Neodiprion lecontei: one gene and its partner. The protein of the gene in region 2 purifies or fractionates together with the protein of the main gene of each other region. This does not show direct contact. Links are inferred from orthologs where the notes say so. Each region holds a gene or a part of one and is shown on either strand. Other genes may lie near its edges.

Region 1 (10,785 bases), on a different chromosome or scaffold from region 2:
GTTTACGTAAGCCAAAATCCAGTAAAAAAGTTCAGTGGACACAAGGAACTGTCGATAATGAGCATATGAATAAAAAAAAGTCTAAATGTAAATTTCCGCTTAAGTACACGCATATAATCAAAATTAAAATTTGACTCGCTTTTCTAACATAATTCGTAATCTACAGGCTGCTGTATATACGAAAAACCAAAAGAATTTGGTGAGAGTAGCTCAGAAGACAGCGATGATGAGTGTGAGCACTGTCATGGGCACAGAGATATTCATCATAAGAATAACTCGAATGGAAATGAGGCACCTCAAGGAGCCATACCGTCTCAACCTGGTACATTTCTTGTATTTTAAACTTTGTATGATTTTTATCGTCTATTACAGGATATACAGAAAATTGTTTATTTACATTTAACGTTCTGTTTCAGAACCAATTGCTACAGGATCTGCCTAATTTTTAAGGGTTGAAGCATTTTTAGAAATGTTGATAGGTAACCCAATGTTGGCTTCGCATCTTAGATTTGAGTTCATTGTTAGGTTGACAAGGTTATGTAAAACTTTGAAGGATATTTTGCCAGATTTTTTATACGGAGTCTTTTCACCTTTTTTCCAAGCGATATTACCTATTCACTTGGAGGATAGATCTGTCTTAAAAATGTAGCCATATTCGTTGCGTAATTCCATGAACATACTAGTAGATGAAGAGATTTCTGACACTTCATTTAAATAACAAATAGTCAGAAATCCAACATAGTAAATGTGTCAAAATCAAAATTATCAACTGACTTCTGAGTTCTAATTGCTGATTTTTATCTACTTTCTAAACAGCTTATAGAAAGCTGTTGTGCTAGTTAAAATTTGCAATTGCTCTGTATTTGACGCAGGCAATTGCAGTTTGTGTATAAATAACTATGATGTAATAGTTACAATGATGAGTTTTGTCGAAGTCTTGACTTCCAAAAAATTTCAAGGTGAAACAAACACTATAGTCGATCAGTCAATCTTTGGAAATTATACACATTCATATGATAGTTGAATTACATACTGTAGTGAAACTTCGTGTTTTGATCTATACCCATGATATGTCATTTCAACTGATGAAATAATCGTGAGAGAAGGGAATACAAATCTTCTCTAACTAATAGTTTTACCTAGGTCGTAATGTTTTCAATCTTCCAATTGTAGACACATTGTCTTGGGTGTTGCTCAATATTTGTTGGGTATTGGTTGTGCGTTGCATATGTAATGAATATTCTTAGGAACTCTTGTATAAAATTGAGATCATTTGATTGATTTATTTCGAAATCCTAATTTTCAATATTTGTTTTTTAGAAACTGTTATTTCTACTTGACATTAAATAGTTTCAGTCGTAAATTAAATTACAAGGAAAAATTATTTAACGAATCAAATTTGTAGTTTTGCTTTGTAAATACTTTTGCTATACTTGAAGCTAAATAATGGAGCACAATAAATTTATTTTCGAATTTGCATAATCGAAAGCTCCTATAACATAAAATATACAACTAAGTAACTTATTATGCAATACAAGTGCGAAAGAAGCATAGGTCAAGCACATTGAGTCCCACATTAAAATTGAGTATTTGAATATATGCTCTTTTTTTGAAATATTTCGAAATCAAATTTAATTTATCGTGATAGAAAGGAATATATATTTTTATACAAGGAAAATTATTTTTGAATAATTTTCAAAAGATGTTTAGTTCACAATTAATCATCGTTTGCTGTAATTCCTTGTCATAAAAGATAGCTATATTTCGCTTCTGAAAAATTCATCTAATCAGCATTCCATGTATTTTTGATGTACAAAGGTGTCCTTTCACGGTTCACTGTATCATACATGTAATGAGTAAAAAAAAGAGGGAAAAAAAACATGGTTGTAAAGTGTGGAATTAAAATTTTGAAGGAAAAGCTGAACAGGGAACAGAGCTCGTGACGTTAGTATTATGTTTATTCTTAAATTAATGTACAATATGAATTAAGTACGTCTTGTATACTTCACATCAACTGATTTAATTAAGATACGATTTGCAATCGACATATAAAAATTACATATTTTTGCTATTTACAGATCGACTTGATGGTGAATCACAGAAATTTTTTTCCCCACTGCAGACTAAATACAGTTTCTGGAATATAATATTTTCATCTATTCCTTGTACTTCCATTTTTTGAATTGTAATTTACCATGCCAAACAAATGACAAAAAAACGTTCATCATGAAAATTCATTAAAATTGAAGCTATTGTAATTCAAGACTATGATGTCACGTCTTGCGCATTGCAACTTTTATGCCGGATGTTTCTGTCGTATCTAATACGTCATCAATAATGGAATTGTAGCATGCACGCTTGTGAATCTACAGTTATATATGCTGCAATATCTATAAATTTTAGTCAAGTTACAAACTATACTTCAAAGTAGAAGTAATTCAAACAACTTATAACGAAATTTTCAGTCGTGATTCCTGCACGAAAAAGTGAAATCTTTGAAACCAGTAGATATTCATACAACTGAAGAAAACCGTTCACTTGTACATATTAGTTATAACCCTACACCTAGTGAAGTCACAACATTGCAAATTGTTAATAAACAATTGATCTTTCGTTTGTTCAACTTCCAAAATTTTAATTTTCCAAAAACCTTCGCATCAAAAAAAACTCAACCGAACATCAGGTTTCTTTCACAGAATTTCTGGCCAGTTGAGTTCGATCAAATATTTTCCTCAAGAAACTTGGACATTAAAAACAATACGATAGTATTAAATACAGTGTTTTTCGAACATAAGTCGAGGTCTCTGGTGCTGGTTTGCTTTAAAAAATTTGTACTCAACTGATATGAGCGATTGACTTTACAGGTATATTTGAAGAATAATTACTGAAATAAAGTCTCAGAATCAGAAGTCAACTTACATTCAGGGTCGACTTATGTTTAATACAATACAGCATATATTGATGTATAAAATAATTGATGTATTACCCAATCAACGTATACTCATGTACATAAGTAAATTAGCTGCAAGATAAATATTGGTGTCAACAAAATCAACCAGATTTCTTTGTCTAATTGAGTTAAAATGGCTGTTAATCGCAATGTAGACTAGTTACTCCAATTTTTATAGAGTAAAATTGCACTATTCTATAATAGACATTGTACCTTGTATGAATTCAGATCATATTTGGTGCGATTAAATTCCAATCCTTTTTAAACTCTACACCGGTACTTCAATTTATTTTATAATCATTCCAAAATCTAACTTCCCGAAAGGACTTCGTGAAAAGCTAAATTAGTAATTAATATTGCGCAAAGGTTTTTAAATTGGAAATTGAATAGCTTTTAATCAGTCAACGTTACAGCTGCTCCTGTGATACCGGCATCGTTTTCTTACTTCCAATCCCCTGCGATACATTTCTTCATTTAATCCCAGCTCTTTGACCATCGATCGACTTCGCCAAACTTTAACTGTGTAGTCATCGCTGGTGGTCACAAGCATTTCAGGATCCTTCGGATTAAATGCAACAGAGTTTACGACATCAGAATGCGGTAGTTTAGCTAAACATACTCCGTAATGTCGATCCCAAAGATAACCATGCTTATCCTCTGCTCCACTAGAAAGTACATTTAATCAACATTTACTATTATTGATATTTATTGTCTTCTTTCAACTATTTTTGACAAAGACTTTAATATTGCTTATCATTATTGCACATCATATCATTGCTCATTAAGGACAGAGATATAGTCTTGAACTTGATTGAAAGTGAAACTTGGATGAGTTATAAATAGTGGTAGAATAAAGCGTAATTTTGTCAGGTAGGTCGACCTCGGTGTGAGATATACTAAGGTTTTCCCTATCTGTACATCGTAACTTTCGCTATTTTTGAAAGGTTAACATCGTAAAAATATACACTGTTACAAAAAGAAGAAGATCGGAAGGGCGAGTATTTCTCAAAAACTCATATTTTACTTAAAATTCTGCTGAAGTTGTTCAAAATACATGTAAAATATGCGCGTGTAGACTTACCTTGCAACATATTCATTGCACACATCTAAGAATATAAAAAAACATTCGTGATTCGGCGTGTAAGCCTTGTGCGCCCGTAGCATTGTACCAACTTGTTTCAAAGTAACCAAATCGATAACGTGAATATCAATTTCTTGAGCAATTGGTGGTGGTTCCAACGGGTTTGTGATAACGTAGCCCCTTGGCCACGGTCTTGTATTAACATACAAATATCTGGGTGACAAAATCAATCCTGAATTATGATATGACTAAACTAGTATTATAGAAGTGGGTTCAATATAAATTAACATTGCTAATTTGCTGTTACATTCATGAATTAGGTTTGATTCAATCAATCGTGAAACACACCTGTGATCTGGAGATAAACTCATTCCGATAACATGACCATGAAGATCTATGAGATGATCTACTTTGTCAAATTTATCGGCGACAGCATTATAGTCCAGCCAATTAGGCTCGGTTCTAGGCGATCTGCAATTTTGTCTCTCGCGCTCGCGTTCTCGCTGGGCAATCCTCTCTTTTAAAGAAGGCCCAGGATCAAGACGTCTCGGAAAACTCATCGGCTTGATACGTTTAAAACCAATTTGGTGGGGAGTGTAAGTTTTTGACCCAGTCGTAAAAATGAGATACTTCTCCGGGCTGTCAGCTAAATCGTCAGAGTCACAATCCTCTCCATCTGATGACTCTGTAAATGTAAATGCGAACAATAATTAATAATAAAATCATTTTCAAAGAAGTTAATTTCTCACTCACCTGTTGTCTCGCTTTCTTCTTCCCACGTCAGATCATCATTTTCGCAACTATGATCTGTCGTATCTTTTTCGATTTCCACTTGTCGGTAATTTTCGTTGTACTGAATGGGACTTGCATACTCAAACCCATCGCCGAGCCTTCGCCAGTTAAGAAACCCACCTTCCAGTGTGCTGTATCTGAAGTAAAAAAAAAACCACAAGATTGACTCTACCTTGAAAAATAACTATGATTGACTAAGGTCTTAAGTCAACTCACTGCAGTCTGGATGACGCATGATGTAGAACTTCAGGTTCTTCAGTCTGCTGTTGACCATTATTTGAAGACATGGAGGATAGCTCTCTATGGCTTGGCGGATTCCCTTTCTCTTCTCTGACATCAGAAGTTAATGGTTCATTTTGCTGAGTTTCAGTTTTCGGCGATGCGGGGGATAAACAATTAGCTACCATCACAGCTCTAATCGAGGATGCATTGCTGTTGTAAAATCTATAAGAAAAGGTCACATTACATAAGAATTGTTATGTAAATCTTTTCCTTTTTAATGCAATTCCACTCACCGATACAATTGATTCATTATCGGTACATGTTCGCTGGCTGACTCTTGGCTAGCTTTGTTCAGCCATAACACACTTGTGCTAACCAAGTGTGCTAACCAGTGCAGATCTCCGCTTAGTAAGTGTCGCTCGCTGTACCATGTGCCGAATATGTCATAGGGTTTATTCACAACTCTGCACTGAAGTTCAAATCCAGCTGTAAATAAATTTGGAAGTGCAAACATACCAAAAATCTTTTCTTGACAATTTGAAATTGGCTTTCTTGGCATTAAGCAGTCAGAATCCAAGCTCACAGATCATAGGCCATAAATAATATTCTTGACATTTCTCAATTGATTTAGTTTCTAGTTAATAATCTAAATTCGAAATTTGAAATTTCCATAGCATGAAGAACACAATATGTTTGCAAGTTATGGTCGGAAGTTAGAAGGGTAATATCAGAATCCTAAATTTTGGATTTATTCGAGATTATACAGACAAGTCATTGCCACTCTACTGTTCTAAAGAGGAGTATTATTCTTTGTAATCCATACTCACGCTCAAGACTAAAGACTGCAATTTCTCCAGAGGTACTGTGGGGAGTTCCAAAGTGAACTCCAGATACAAGAAGCAAGGTATCGGATGAATTGAATTGAGAAAATTGTGTGTACTTCCAGCTAAATGTTTTCATGTCTCGATGGTATTTAATACTTGCTGGATAACTGCTGTTCCATACCTAAGAAATAAATATAAATTCGATAAAAGGTGCTGTTCTCAGCGGAAATATTGCAAGACATTGTATACAAATTTAAAGTAATATTGACCAAGTGTGCAATTGACAGAATTCTGAGACACTGACTCAATTTCAACTATTTGAAAATAAATTATAGTATTTAACAAGTTTTTACAATTATGTAGCCGTCTTTGGAGCATGTTGTGAACATTTGCCCATTATGCGAAAAGCTAACGTGCAGTACTTGGTTGGTGTGTTCTTTGCGGACCTCGGTTTCCAACAACGGAGTGTGGTAAGTAAGCCGTTTGAATTCTTGAAGCCAAGAAGTTTTGCCTGTAGCAGGCAAAAAATGTTCATCTTTGATTTAATTGCGCACTGTTATTTTCCAAATGCTTATTTATTTTCACCATCTATAAATAGATAACTTGGTGGTATTGCGTTTAACTTACCAGGCATAATGCTCACGTTCGGATCGATTTTGTAGGTTTGGTAAAAGAGATCCTTCCAGAGGAATTCGTCTTTGCAAACCCTGTGCCATGTTCTGCATACTTCTCCAACTGTCAGCAGCTCTTTTGGTGTAAGATATTGAAAAATGCTTAGAAGTACGGAGTCTGGCAGGTACCACCAAATGTCATGGTTATCGGAATTCTCCGTGTAATCTGTAAATGAATTTCTACTACTAAGCGGTTGACAGTTTTCAGCGGAATTAAATGTACCGTCCATTTCAGCGAAAGTCCTAGCTCAACTCTTTGTATAATATCACGGTTCTTTGTTTACTATAACAGCTGATGCCTGTCATCCTCTCTGTACCGCAGATCGAGCTTTTCCCTCCTGGTGATATCTGTGGGCCAGGAAGGAAGAGGGGAGGACACACAACTCCGTACTACGGTTTTCTGCACAGGTCCAGGCACTTCGTCTCTAAAATTGTGACGGTAGTGAACCCGATGTTGTGAATTTTTCCCGGTAGCGCTGGTGACGGGGAGGCCAATGCATTTGTAGTAACGGCCACCGAGATTGCAGCGCTCCGGTTTTTGGTGTACAAACTAAGAAGTATAGGCCTCAAAACGGTTACGCGGCGTTCAATAGTAAGGGGATAGGAGTGCCAAGAGTGGCCCAGATTTGTGTAGAAGACCGTACTCCGTAATATTTCTGATTATAGAGGTGGGACACATTCGGATCGAAAGCTGGAGTACCGATACCGCCGCTCGCAGCGTTGGTTTCGTCCGTTGCATCGGAAAATTGTAGTAGGATTCACAGCTCTATACGCGAAACGCCGTGACTCAGGATCTACCGGGTTTCTAGCAGTTTGAGCAGTTCAGTGACGGTTTACGTACCCGTAATTCGTCTGTTCTTTCTCGACGGCTACAGTGGAGTAATCATGGTTACGGTATCTGAAACACGCGTAGATGAACTCGTGCAGAGTGTCACCCTGCACGTACCTCGCAAATTGTTATTTAATGGTTACATATTGCCGTTTGTCGTCCTACAAGCCGTGTGGATTTACAGTTGGATTTTTATTTACGGTATCGACGAATATTACGATGCTGGTTTGGTGGGCATTGCGGCTATCGGATTGTTACAGATTTTCGTCTGCCTATGTTGTCAGTGGTCAGTCCACGTGCAAAGTTTTCTAAACTGCAGTTTTGTAAGTTTTTTTCATCGTTACCCGTACTCTCGCCTTAGTAATTGTCACTCTTGTCATTCCTAATTAACTATTTATGTTTAAATCGAGCAATATGTTTTCCTTACGCGGCAGCCATGTCAATTTATTCTTCTGCTACGATGGCGGGAGTTTCGTATTTCTTATGTCATGCTTTCACTACGTTTCCAAAAAATATAAGGTATAAATTGATATACCGTTAACTAATCTTCAACAACACCAGCGGTCTTTTATCCATTAAGCTCCTCTTTCTATACATCTATAATTATTCATGTTATTCGTAGACAAACGATCCTTACAAAGCTAAAGTAGCCAAAGTTGTTCCGACACCGAATAACGGAAGTTCAGAGCTTGTTGTACTACATCACAGCAGTAGTCAAGAGCCATGGTTCATTTTCCAAAAGACTAAGTACTCATGGGATCCAGATAAGAAGATATTCAAGGGCTTAGAGTTTCCTGTTGCGAATGCTATTCAGCATTATAATAGCTGGAAGGGCTATCAGGATGCAGAGGAAGTTACAGCCGCCGAAGAAAAATATGGTAGAAACAAGTAAGAACGTATTTGGATTTATTATCTGATACATTTGTATCCTTACATAGCACAATTAAATATAATCAAATCATTCTTTTAGTCTCGATATGGTTGTACCTGAATTTAGGGAGCTTTTTAAGGAGCGTGCCATTGCTCCGTTCTTTGTGTTTCAAGTATTCTGCGTTGCACTGTGGTGCCTTGACAAATATTGGTATTACAGCATATTCACTCTAATTATGCTTATCATGTTTGAGTGCACGTTGGTTCAGCAGCAACTTAGAAACATGGCAGAAATTCGTAAAATGGGTAATAAGCCATACATGATAATGGTAAGCTTTCAAGCATGATTATTTTCATAATAGTTCATATGTTTTATAAAATTAACACGTTAAAAATAAACTTCAAGCTTTTCATTTTCATCGTAATACAATGGATTTTTCAACAAAATTTGGTATAGGTATACAGGAACAGAAGGTGGCGAACTATATTTACTGATCAACTGGTTCCTGGCGATATTGTTTCCATTACACGATCACAGAATGACAATCTAGTTCCATGCGACATGCTTTTATTGAGAGGTCCTTGCATTGTTGACGAGAGCATGTTGACTGGTAATAGGAATTCAAGTTTTGATTCAAATTCTTTAATTCCAATTTGTGCATTATTAACTCCAGTAATGAAACGCAGGAGAGTCAGTACCACAAATGAAAGAACCTGTCGAGGGACTTGAAGGAAACAGAGATTTGAACATCGATGGGGATAGTAAACTACATGTTTTGTTCGGTGGCACCAAAGTGGTCCAGCATACGTCCCCTGGGAAAAGTACAACAGGTCTTAGAGGCATGTTGAATAATTAGCAGGACTTGTCTGTTCTAATAATATTAAAGTACCTCATTGACACACTTCATCTTCTTTTTCCTACTTTAACAGCAACCGACAATGGCTGTGTGGCCTATGTTTTGCGAACTGGCTTTTCAACGTCACAGGGAAAACTATTAAGGACCATTCTCTTTGGAGTGAAACGAGTAACGGCAAACAACTTGGAAACATTTGGCTTTATTTTATTTCTGTTGATCTTCGCAGTTGCAGCTGCTGCATATGTTTGGATTAAAGGTACTAACATTTTATCAAATGTCAGTCACAGTTATTCTGTCGAATCTTTATTGTTTTGACCCAATCGTTTAAAAGCAAAATATATTCTTCACTTAAAATCGATTTCAGGAAGTGAAGACCCGACAAGAAATAAGTACAAATTGTTTCTCGAGTGTACTCTCATTCTCACATCGGTTGTGCCACCAGAATTGCCAATAGAATTGTCCCTGGCAGTCAACACATCACTACTGGCCTTATCTAAACTAGGTGGGTCACAATTAACAAATAATAATAATAGTAATAATAAAAAACCATCTTGAAACACAAGGACGTAAAGAATTTTCACTATTAAATATTGGTGTAGAAACTTCAAGTTTTTTAAACCCATTTCAATGTGTGTACATATATTACACACCATACCTACAATTTTGCTACTTGTTTAGGAGTCTACTGTACGGAGCCTTTCAGAATTCCATTTGCTGGAAAGGTAGAAATTTGCTGTTTTGACAAAACTGGAACTTTAACGAGTGACGATTTGGTTGTAGAAGGAATTGCAGGAATGAAGTAAGTCATCTACGAACTTTTACCGTTAAACAACCTCATTAAAATCGTTAATAAATTATTTTAGTGGGAAGTCTGATGTAATACCTTTATCTAAGTGTCCTGCAGAGAGTGTACAAGTATTGGCAACTTGCCATTCCTTGGTTCAATTGGATGATGGAATAGTCGGAGATCCTCTTGAGAAAGCTACTCTGTCTGCAGTAGATTGGAATCTTACAAAAGGTACATATCTTGGTTTTCTCGAGGAAGTATATTATAATTATAACTTTTCATATTGCTGTATATCATTCATACCATTCATGTTATTCATCTTTCAGGCGATGTTGTTATCACAAAGAAGGGAAAAAACCCAGGATTGAAAATTTTCCAAAGGCACCATTTTTCCTCCGCGTTGAAGAGAATGTCAGTTGTAGCTGGTTACATAACTCCTGGTTCTACAGAGCCGCATTATATCGTAACTGTTAAAGGAGCACCAGAGACACTTAAATCAATGGTAATTGTTAATAGATGTAATACATTAGTAGCCAAATTTGGTATCACGACCAAATAGTCAGAGAATTCATAAATAACCATTTTTATTCCAGTTCTCATCAACACCAGAAAATTATGACTCTACTTATTTATCATTATCTCGACGTGGCGCACGGGTCCTCGCACTAGGTCATCGCACTCTTCCATTCCCTCTGTCTGCTCAGGAACTAAGAGACATGACTCGGGACCAGTTGGAGTCAGAATTAACGTTTGCCGGATTTGTGATAATTAGCTGCCCACTAAAGACTGATTCAAAAGCTGTTATAAAAGAGATCATAAATGCATCTCATTCGGTATGATTTTTATTTTCATATTTGATTGCTGATTCGAGTATTTGCAGTTCATAATAAATTGTCAAATTA
Region 2 (10,300 bases):
CGTAGTTTGGACCAAGTGTTTTGGCTTAGTGTTTCGTGATTTTCTTTGTACTACTAGCTTAATTTGTAGTAAATTCCGCCGAAAATATCGAATCGACCTATCGCCCGGCCATCTTGATCCATGTTTGTGTTATATAGAGATCAGTGTTCCCGCCACAAACAACTACGTGCATCAACTAGGCTTGTTGATTTTCAAGTAACAAAATTCGACATCACGCAAGGATATACGGCTTTGCATTATTTGTTATACGCGTATTAAAATTCGTAGTCTATTTTCACAACGATATCGCATAAACAATAAAATTGAAGTTGGTAACGGGAAAAAATCACTATTCTCTTGATTTTACAATGATTTTTAAGGAACCACCAAGATTTCGAAATATGAGTGTGTTTTGTTTCATTGCAGTTTACTGAATTCCAGAAAATTCTAAAATCGCGAAATAACGGTTTTTCGTCGTCATGAATCGTTACGATAACGTTACTAACTTCAATATGATCCGCATAAACGGACGTTTTGAATACGGACATCCACCGACACGACGTTCATTTATTTAAAAATGCTGCTAAGTAATGTTCAGGCGGGAACCGTTTCGGTAGTGTCTTCGACTTTTCATTTTATTGTTAACGACTAGAATATCGGGTATTAGTGATCGGTCCGCTGAGTCCGTGAGTGAATTTCTCCTAAAAACTGTTGAACGTGTGTGCTTTGAAAGTCGATTTCTTTGAATTCCCTTCTATGAAAAGTTACCGCGGATCACTATGGTGTGTTGCATTTTGTGTGTGATGTGTTGGAACAATGTGCGGTTTGAAACATGGAGAGAACGTAACGGATAATACATAATCACTTATCCTGAGCAGAGATCAACGAACGAGACATATGTGAGTTGCTGCAAATAAAAATCTATCAAATATAATTCTGCTTGGCGTTGCATTTTCAAAAAAACTTTATAGTACTGGCTATAAGTGGAATAGGAATCCATGCTGCAGAAAATATGGGTTGGGTCATTGATGAGAAAATATTAACAAGATACAACGTCGAGTTGAGAATTAAATGCTCTGATTTATAGTGATCGTAAAGAATGTACACATAATAATGTATGCATATTATCGTACAAATGAAAATTCGCTAATCATGCTCGTTGCGCAGTCGTATATATGTATAATCTCTCGTATATGTCGACGGTGGTAGCAAAATAAATTTTGCAACAAAACTAGTTATTTTTTTAATAAACTTACAACGAAATTTATCAAGTTTTCGTAATTGTACAAGTAAATTTATACAAGTTGTACGTAATATGCGCATATCCCCAACATACAATTTACTGCGGTTTAAAGTCTTTATTTTCGCATCACCGTATTCATTGCAATGCTAATTCACTTGAAAAATCAACTTACCCAATGTATCGTGGAATAACGTGCAGGCATATTATACCTAATTCAAAACCTAATACTGAATTTATGTAAAATCTTTGTCTTTGAGACAAATTTGCACTAGGGTACTTGAAAATGTACAGTATCACCACGTGGAATATTAGATTTGCTAAATCGATCTGTCCTACAACACAGTGCATAACTTTATCGGACAAGTTATAATTGCAATATTTATTACTTTTTGGCTTGACACCCCGCTGCGCTCACTCATACAATTATATCTCAAATTCTAGTTACTAAAGGAACTTCCGAGCTTTGCATACACAGTTTTTTGGCTAATTGATTAAAGAACAAATGAGAATATACGAGATTGACAATGCACTGACAAAATTTAGTTTTCTATAATCGTAACAAAAGTGATCTACCTATACGAGAAAATGGTGCTGAATTTCAAGTTTTCTATCGACAACTAAAAATTCGATCTTAGACCCAACGATTAATCATCGGTAGACGAAACGATAGCAGCTTTTTCATGCTTCACGCGATGTGGTCATTGATGAAACCATATGTAAATTAAATCGAAGATTCCATTGAAAATCTTAACTGAATTTAGATTAATCGAAAGAGAACAAGAAATGACGTACTTGATTTGTATATAATACTACATGTATAGCATAGGACTTGAATCAATTTACAATAGTCTTTTAGAGTTATAATACTTGATTGTAAAGTAACAACTGCAGTGGAATGGAGTGTAATATTCTGCTGGCAAAAGTGTGGCGTTTCGATGTAGGATGATAAACTTGTCCCAGGGAAAGTTTGGTTGATGTTCATCCGTGGCTACACTATAGTACCGCCATCATCCACTAGGCTCGTTACGTGAAAAGCTGCTCCCATTTGTCCTATGCTTCCCTGAAATTCAATTTATCAACTTAGACCGGATCGTTGATCATTGATGTGATGTGATGACTATTAAAGCTTATGCTTTGGATTATTGAATGTACCTCGAAGTTAGAACCTCATACTGTGGAAGATACAAGAAAAAAAAACAACGGGTTAACTTTACTCGATAAAATAACGCTACTGGGTTTTTTTTTTTTTTTGTTTTTGAGACTACCGGCTATGAAAATCTCCAATTAGCAAAATAGGAAAAGCTAAAAGCTGGATCAAACAAATTTAAAGTCTTGTACGTACCATGCGCAAACTCAGGGCAGCATCCGTGGCCTCTTGGGTCAGCCAAAAGCAACGCGGGGAATATTAATTTTTTTATGAAAGAAAAATTAACACAGATCTAAATAGCGGCATCGGTGTACAAGCAAAGGAAACGTTTGGTGAGACAGGTGAAGTTTTTGTACCAAAAGGCTAACATTTGTTGAAATCTGGGTATATGAATAAGCGGCATGTTTCTATTCGGCAGGAACGCAACTTTGTTAAGTAAGGGATAAAAGTGAAATTAAAAATAGGAAACAGATGGACAAAAAGAGACGTAAGTTCAAGCAGGAAGCAAGCAGCAGTTTTTCATTCAACTTTTTGCTTTATTTTACAACAAGGCAATTCATCATTTCCAACAAAGGAATAAATGTCACATTATTAATATTCTGGGACAATAGTCTCGCTATGTAATTCATTGCTTTACTACGATTGGCTAAGCTAAGCTAGTAACACTTTACACGGGCCTGCGGAAAATAGGAGAGCGGGGAGAGAGAGGGTGGGACCTGCCCGGCTACCAGACCTCTACTGGGCATAAACAATATCACTCTCAGAGATGCAAACCGGACATAAATATAATCTATAATTTAGACTTCTTTTAACGTGATTTCAATTTTCCTCCTTCCTCATTTCTCTTCTTTTTTTGACATATTCAATTCAACGCATTGATTAGGATAGGGGCGTCGGGATAATACTGCGTTCAGACGAAAACTGGATGTTTAGTCAAGTGAATTTTACTTAGTTCAAGAATAGAGCTCAAATTTTGCAACCAAAATTAAAACATGTAGTCGAGATTTTCTAATACTCAGACTCTAACTCTCGCGCTGCCTGACTAAAACAGATAATTTCGAGTATGTTTCAATTGACGTCCAAACGAGACAGTATCACACGCAATCCGTGCTCCTTCGTAAATATTTGTATTCATATACAGTATGGAGTGAATTAAAGTATAGTTGAAAGTTCTGTAACATTCTTCTAGTTCCTTTTATTTTCATCAACGACCGTCACGTTAGTTACTGCTTGTCGTTATCAGATAAATTTCAAGGGCTTCGATAAAATAGTTACAGGCCTTTGATTATTTGTCCAACAATATAGTTACGGACCTGAGCTATCTCTAGTATATACAAATTAATTGATTAATAATTAGTTAATAAACTCGATTCGATAGAGTTTTAATAACAATAAAAGATGGGTTACATCAGAGATCATTTGGTCGATTAGAATTGGCGTTGGTATGAGGATTGGTGTGGTGATGGGGCCTGTGGAGGGTGCTGCTTATCGTCAGAGGACCTACCATGTGGCCAGGTCTCGCCCACGTGTAGACATACCCGTCCTGACATGCTGTCACGAAACAATCTTCTCTAAACACTAATTCAGTCAGCCTCTCGTGGGCCAGTTTCTTGCACACCAATGGTTCTAGAACAGGGCACTCGTCGAAACGTGGACACCAGGCGGTCCCTATCAATCTCATAGGATCGTCCATCGTACCGCCGGACTTTTTATTCGTACCTAGACCCCCGCCAACACTGTTTGAATTACTAGAATTTGAGTTACTACCAGATTTCTCCCCACTATTATTTTGTATCGCGTTGTTGCTCGTTCCACTTCCTCTCATCGTTAGGCTAAAGTTTCTTTTGTGATTGTCACCTTTCCTCTCCCCGAAACCCAAGCCCGCCAGCCTTTGAGTCAATGAATTCACGGTAGACACTGCCGCATTGGTGCTAATACTATTATTACTACTTTCATTGTTACCACTCGCGCTCTCTTTAAAACCTATATTATTCAAATTGTTATGCTTGGCATTGTTGGAATTATGATTGGACGTTGCTCCATTCCCGCTTGTAAATGTTCCCGATGACGAAAATGTCCCCGAACCTGCGGTCGACGTCCTTTGCTTGGCACTGACTGGCGGCCGAAGAACGTCTTCGGTTATATCCCATAGACAGAGTTGAGTGTCCTGGGAGACACTTCCCAGCCTGTAGCAGGTTCCTCCGGACACCCTTAGCTCCGACCCGCACGAATTTCTATTGGAATGAATACCTTGGGAGACTGTCGACAATCTGTTGGGCTTCTCATGAAAGTGATTATTGTGATTAGTGTGAGGCATGGATTCGTCGTCGGAACCACTGAAATCTGGATCGTGATCCCCGTAGGACGTTGTGTAGGGATCGAACGCGACCACACTGACCCAACTGTGATGACCCTGGCCCCTGGCCACGACTCTTTTCTCATTGAAGCTCCATATCGTCACCAGATCATCTTCTCCTCCTACTACGACGTATCGTCCATCCGGTGACCAACAGACGCACAAGAATCCTCCAAAGTAGCTCCTCGCCGATCCCACTAGTTCCATCGTATCGTAGTGAAAAACTCGTAGGAAGCCATCCTGGGATACCACAGCCAAATTAGAGCCACAGGGACTGAATGCAAATTCATTTATACAGCATCCCTCAGCGCCGATCACCCATCGGTACAGGGGGTTTCTTGTGGACTTTGTTTTGCATGTGTGAATCGCATAGCCATCCCCTGATTTGAACGGCTGATAATGAGGCGGTGTCGTTCCACAAAGCAGCTCTTCGTTGTACAGGTACAGTTGGCCAGAGCTATGCGAAACCAGGAATAGATTGCTCGATCCCGGAACCCATTTGATGCAGGTCACTTTACTCTTGTCGATTAGCCTCTGAAATTACAAACATCAGTTGCTGATTATTCTTTGTCGCGTTTATCTTTCAACTAATGTCAACATCTTCCCAGTAAATTAAATAACTCGAGTCCTTGCCATATCTATTCGTCAAAGGGTTTTACAACTGGTAGAGAATAACAACATAGCTAATAAATACGAATAGATTACAGCTTTAATATACGCAGAGATCTTAGTATCTTGGCGCATTGTCAGTGATCGGAGAGATAAGCGGAGTATTGCATAACACAGTATGTAATGCCTGTTTAATTATTTCATCAAGTTATAGTTGCGTTACAACAGTACTGCCAACCTTGAATGATGTAGGGTTACGCGGAGCCATCTGTGGCAGATAATAAAGCAAAAAAAACTCTCACTTGTCGCGACAGATAGCATATTACGTGTCTGTTGCTAATTGCCTGGTTATCACGTGCCGGCAAAATAACGGTGCTGTATCTCAGTCATTCAGCAATCAGCAATAAGCCTGACAAAGAGCCCTTAGCTAGCCTTTACTCGTAGAATGTGCCTAGCTTTGGCTGCCCAGTTATTGAAATGAATATTGCTCATCAGGATAGGATGGATTTTTGCTTTTGATTTGAATTGATCTGTTATGCATACCTCTTCATTGTAAAGTTTGCTAAGCTCCTTTTTAATTGGATCTATGAGCTGAATCTGTCCTGTGGAAAATCCGACGAGCAGTGGCGCGCTGTCTGCAGTGGCTGTAGTTTGGTTGAAGTTATGGCAGGTTGGATTTGTTCCTTTGTAGAGCTTTTTGTCAACAGGTTTGTTGAGATCCACAGCCTGAAACAGTTGCTATTATACTTTGAGATAGATTTTGAATGAGAATTATTCAGAAAACGGTTCCTAAGCTCTTATAAAATGAATTTGTATTTCAGAACCAAGCAATCGTAGCTGTGTGCCAAGATTAGGAAACCTGACAAAAGTTTGCATGTTTCTATTAGTGTTATCATTGATCAATTTTTTCACCAGCATAACACAGGCCAACAAAGCATAGGATGAACTAAAAGTGAACGTAAATGTAAATGTAACATAGATAAAGTCGAAGTGAAGTAGAAATGCGAAGAATATGACGAGGTTGGAGAGTTGTGGTGGTGGTGGTTGCGAAGATGGAGTCGGAACGACGAGGCGGAGGGGGGAGGGGGGCTGTTTGAGGTTATGTATCGTTAAGTTAGCGCCGAAAGAGTCGCAGGGATAATAGGGCAGGTTTAACGAGGTGGCAGAAGAGGAGGTACCTTCTTGACGCCACGGTAAACGTATACGTATAATTCTTTGCCAAAGTTGAAGCACATGCGGTCGCCGAGGCCCTGGGCTCCCGTGGGATCGGCTGGATCGGGCAATGTGACGAAGGACACCCTGACCGAGGCGCTGCCCTGGCTGTTGGTGTAGCCCACCCTGTTAGGTCGGGAGTACTCCGAGAGGGTCATCAGTTTGTACGTTCCTTCTCGCGTGACAAATTGTGTTTTCAAGTCGTCCTTCCCCCCTCCATCGAGCTGCACCGCCATCTTACCACTAGAGAAACGACGGTGGAGTTCATGAGAATCGAGGAAATGGGTGTTTCCTTTCCTATTTTAGTTAACCGTCGATTGATCCGCGATTATACCAATCCCGGCTCTTCGATCGAACGACGACGAGAGTGTGGTTACTGTTTTCTTAACAACACCACCACCACCACCATCACCATCACCACCACCACCATGCAATATCGCGGAATCGCCGAGTCCCGAGTACAAGATCCGAACCCGCAGCGAAATTGTCTGCGAGCTGATCGTCGCGGCTCGCTCCAGTGTTGTTGGTGCGCGCGCACACCCCAGCCGACCGACACTCTGCCAACACCGGGCAATCCTACATAATATCGCTCTGCAACCGGATATTTTCTCAACAGATGGTTGAATTACTAATTGATTTAATCGCTCCTTCCTTCTTCCTGTCACACATGTTGACGACCGTTTAACCGTCCCTCGTCGCGTCAACGAGCAGCCGCTGTCGCTCGAACGATACTGATCGTACCACTCGCCCGTTTCGTAATGACCGACCACCTCCTTCTGGCCGCATCCTAGTCGACAGGAATATCGCAGCTGCTCGGAAAAAACTGTTTCGTCCGATTCATCAATCGACAAGACCAGCTCCGTCAATAACTTTTACAAGGATCATTCTCCGTGAAATTCTCGAATCTTTCCTCGCTTCGCGGAGATCGCTGTGCATTCGAGGAGATGCCGCAACGTATACGCTGTGTCAATTTCGTTTTCAAATAAGGCGACGCTCCCCGCTCTTTGTCGTCTGCTATGTTTGGTATCCATTGGTGCCAACCTTCTCCGCCGCCTCGTTCGCAGTGCTGCTGTCTCAACGGAACCTAACCTGAAAACCATGTGCTTGCCAATGCAAGCGTTCAGTTTTTGGTTGTCGATAGGCCGTGTTCATTTGAATTGAATTATTGCTGGCGATATTGAAAGTGGGACGGTTGACAATGGTTCGTGGGAAAAAACCGACTCGCGGAGGGAATCGACGAAAATTTGATAAACGTTTCGAGCATAAGCCTAAGGTGAAAAAATGTAAATTCAATATCAGGGAAGCCTCGTATGTCAAGGAACGTGATGCCAAGAACGAAGAGATTGAAAATAGGAGGCGAAAATTAGAGGCGGAGAGGAGCAAACAGTTGGAACTTGAGGCTGAGAGTTCGGAAGAGGAACGAGAGGATCCGTTAAAAATGTTGCTTTCAGCTATCGGTGGTGCTGAAACTAAGAGGCAACCTGTCATTGACTCCGATTGTGAGTCAGAGTCTGAATCCGAGCCTGACGACGAAGCCGAGGTGAAATCTTCCGTCGAAGAAGAAAATCTTTTCAAGACGAAAAACTCGGGCGTAGATCACGTCACTTCCGAGGCTAGCGACGCTGAACATGTCGAGATAAATTTGAGGGAGGAAGAGGAAGAGGATCAAGAGACTGCGCGCGAAGATGCTGGGAAGCTCAGAGATCCGTTTTCAATTCATCTGCTCAACGATTTGGACGACGACTTGTACAAATCCGTTTCCCTAACTCCTCAGAAGGCTGCCACCAGTAGATCGAAGTGGCCCGCTCTCGGAACCGTTGTGTTTCAAATCCCAGAGGTTGAGGATGAGTTTTCTAAGCCTGTTAGAAAACGACCCAAGGTCTCGATATTGGAAGACAAGCAATTTGCCAGACACGGAGCTGTTCCGCAAGTCATAGACGACGTTGACTGGGACAAGTTATTCATCAAGTCACAAATTCAAGGCAATATCTCCAAGGCAAACTACGATAATATTAAAGACAGTCTGGCGTCTAAGCCTAGTCCCTTAACCCCGTTGCAAAAAGAATTGTTCACCATAATTAACAATTATCAAGATCTGTGCTACAACGAGCGAAATTTCGCCAATGGCGAACAAATTAGATTTCTTTATTGCTTGCACGCGGTTAATCACGTTTTAAAAACCAGAACCAAGGTCTTGCATCACAATGCGAAACTGACAAAAGCCAAGAAGTCAGGGATAGCGGATACACCGGATGAATATCGGGATCAGGGTTTGGTCAGGCCGAAGGTTCTTATAATAGTCCCTTTCAGGCACTCGTGTTTAAAAATCGTTCGGCTACTGATCGCGATTTTAATCGGGGAAGACAAGGGTGGGTCCGTGGTGAACAAACTTCGATTCATGGAGGATTTCAGTGGCAACGAACTCGCTATGCCGAGGAAAAATCCCAAGCCCGAAGATTACGAGCAAACGTTCGAAGGAAACGTCGACGATACCTTTAAAATCGGCATATCCGTGACGAAGAAAACGTTGAAACTCTATTCGGACTTTTACTCGTCCGACATAATCATTTCGTCCGTCCTGGGACTCCGAATGCTCGTCGGCGCCGAGGGCGAACCCGACAGAGATTACGATTTCCTTGCTTCCGTGGAGTTGCTCGTGATGGACCAGACGGAGGTGTTCGCGATGCAGAATTGGGACCACCTGCTGCACGTCCTCGACCACGCACATCTGCAGCCAAAGGAATCCCACGGGACGGATTTCTCTCGCGTTCGCAGCTGGGTGGTGAACGGCTGGTCCAAGTTCTATCGGCAGACGCTGATATTCTCCGGCGTTCCGTTACCCGAGATACACGCGATATTCAACAAGCGGTGCTTCAACTACGCGGGAAAAGCGAGGGTCGTGAACCCGGTGACTTCCGGGACCGTTTGCCAAACGGTGATTCAAGTGCCCCAGGTGTTTCACAGGTTCGATTCCCGAGACCACGGCCACGACATAGAGGCCAGGTTCACTTTCTTCGTCTCGAAGATTCTCCCCCAGTACAAGGACAGCATAATGAATCACACCGTTATCTACGTGCCGTCCTATTTTGACTTCGTGAAAGTTCGCAACTACTTCAAGAAAGAGGAGCTCAGCTTCGTTCAGATCTGCGAGTATTCGAAGGATGCAAAGGTGGCCAGGGCGAGGGACATGTTTTACCACAGCGACGCGCATTTCCTCATTTACTCCGAGCGATTCCATTTCTTCCGTAGGATACGCCTCAAGGGTATAAGGCACCTCATATTCTTCGCACCGCCGACGTTCCCTCACTTTTACAGCGAAATTTGCAACCTAATGCAGAAAGCGAATCAGAATCCGAACGCAGGCTCGGACAGCAACATGACCGTAACGTTGGTATACTCGAAATACGACGCGTTGAAGCTCGCAGGTATCGTCGGCACCGAAAGGACGACGAAAATGATTAGTTCGGGGCAAGACGTCCACATGTTTATGACCGGCGACTGACGACGAGTGAAAAAGTATTTGTCCGGTATCGAAATTGTCCCTGCTGCATTTGTAAAATCATATTATGTATGTAGTACGTATACATTTGGTAATAAACGTTCCACAGTTGGCGATAAAATCCGATGAAAAAGCTGGGTGACTGATTTTTAGCTTACGTCGACGAGCACCAGATTTGAACCGAAATCTCCAACGAAAGTAAATAAATGATTAATCTGATTCCAGAAATTCACTGAAAATAATAATACTCCTGTT

Evidence for each region. Proteins that work in one complex are often made in the same cells at the same time.
Region 1: the proteins of WD repeat-containing protein 20 (region 2) and F-box/WD repeat-containing protein 5 purify together in Homo sapiens (co-immunoprecipitation; 3 studies listed by BioGRID and IntAct, counting the BioPlex papers as one, with this or other methods). This does not show direct contact. The link is inferred for Neodiprion lecontei from reciprocal best matches to the Homo sapiens genes WDR20 and FBXW5.

What each region holds. Positions count from the first base shown.
Region 1 is NC_060261.1:32,799,986-32,810,770, reverse strand, and holds F-box/WD repeat-containing protein 5, read right to left. Parts: upstream 6,960-10,785; 5' UTR 6,847-6,959; coding exon of another isoform or gene 6,825-6,846; 5' UTR 6,771-6,824; coding exon 6,497-6,770; intron 6,381-6,496; coding exon 6,223-6,380; intron 6,051-6,222; coding exon 5,873-6,050; intron 5,532-5,872; coding exon 5,339-5,531; intron 5,268-5,338; coding exon 5,040-5,267; intron 4,961-5,039; coding exon 4,785-4,960; intron 4,717-4,784; coding exon 4,380-4,716; intron 4,245-4,379; coding exon 4,032-4,244; intron 3,616-4,031; coding exon 3,348-3,615; 3' UTR 1,818-3,347; downstream 1-1,817. Other genes in the region: succinate--hydroxymethylglutarate CoA-transferase, read left to right, coding at 1-87, 167-322, 417-442; endoplasmic reticulum transmembrane helix translocase, read left to right, coding at 7,426-7,692, 7,992-8,257, 8,340-8,568, 8,697-8,850, 8,927-9,079, 9,170-9,352, 9,461-9,598, 9,775-9,895 and 3 more. UniProt on the Homo sapiens protein: Substrate recognition component of both SCF (SKP1-CUL1-F-box protein) and DCX (DDB1-CUL4-X-box) E3 ubiquitin-protein ligase complexes.
Region 2 is NC_060266.1:563,527-573,826, reverse strand, and holds WD repeat-containing protein 20, read right to left. Parts: upstream 7,282-10,300; 5' UTR 6,783-7,281; coding exon 6,513-6,782; intron 6,073-6,512; coding exon 5,878-6,072; intron 5,260-5,877; coding exon 3,778-5,259; 3' UTR 2,885-3,777; downstream 1-2,884. Other genes in the region: U3 small nucleolar RNA-associated protein 25 homolog, read left to right, coding at 7,745-10,048. UniProt on the Homo sapiens protein: Regulator of deubiquitinating complexes. Activates deubiquitinating activity of complexes containing USP12. Anchors at the base of the ubiquitin-contacting loop of USP12 and remotely modulates the catalytic center of the enzyme.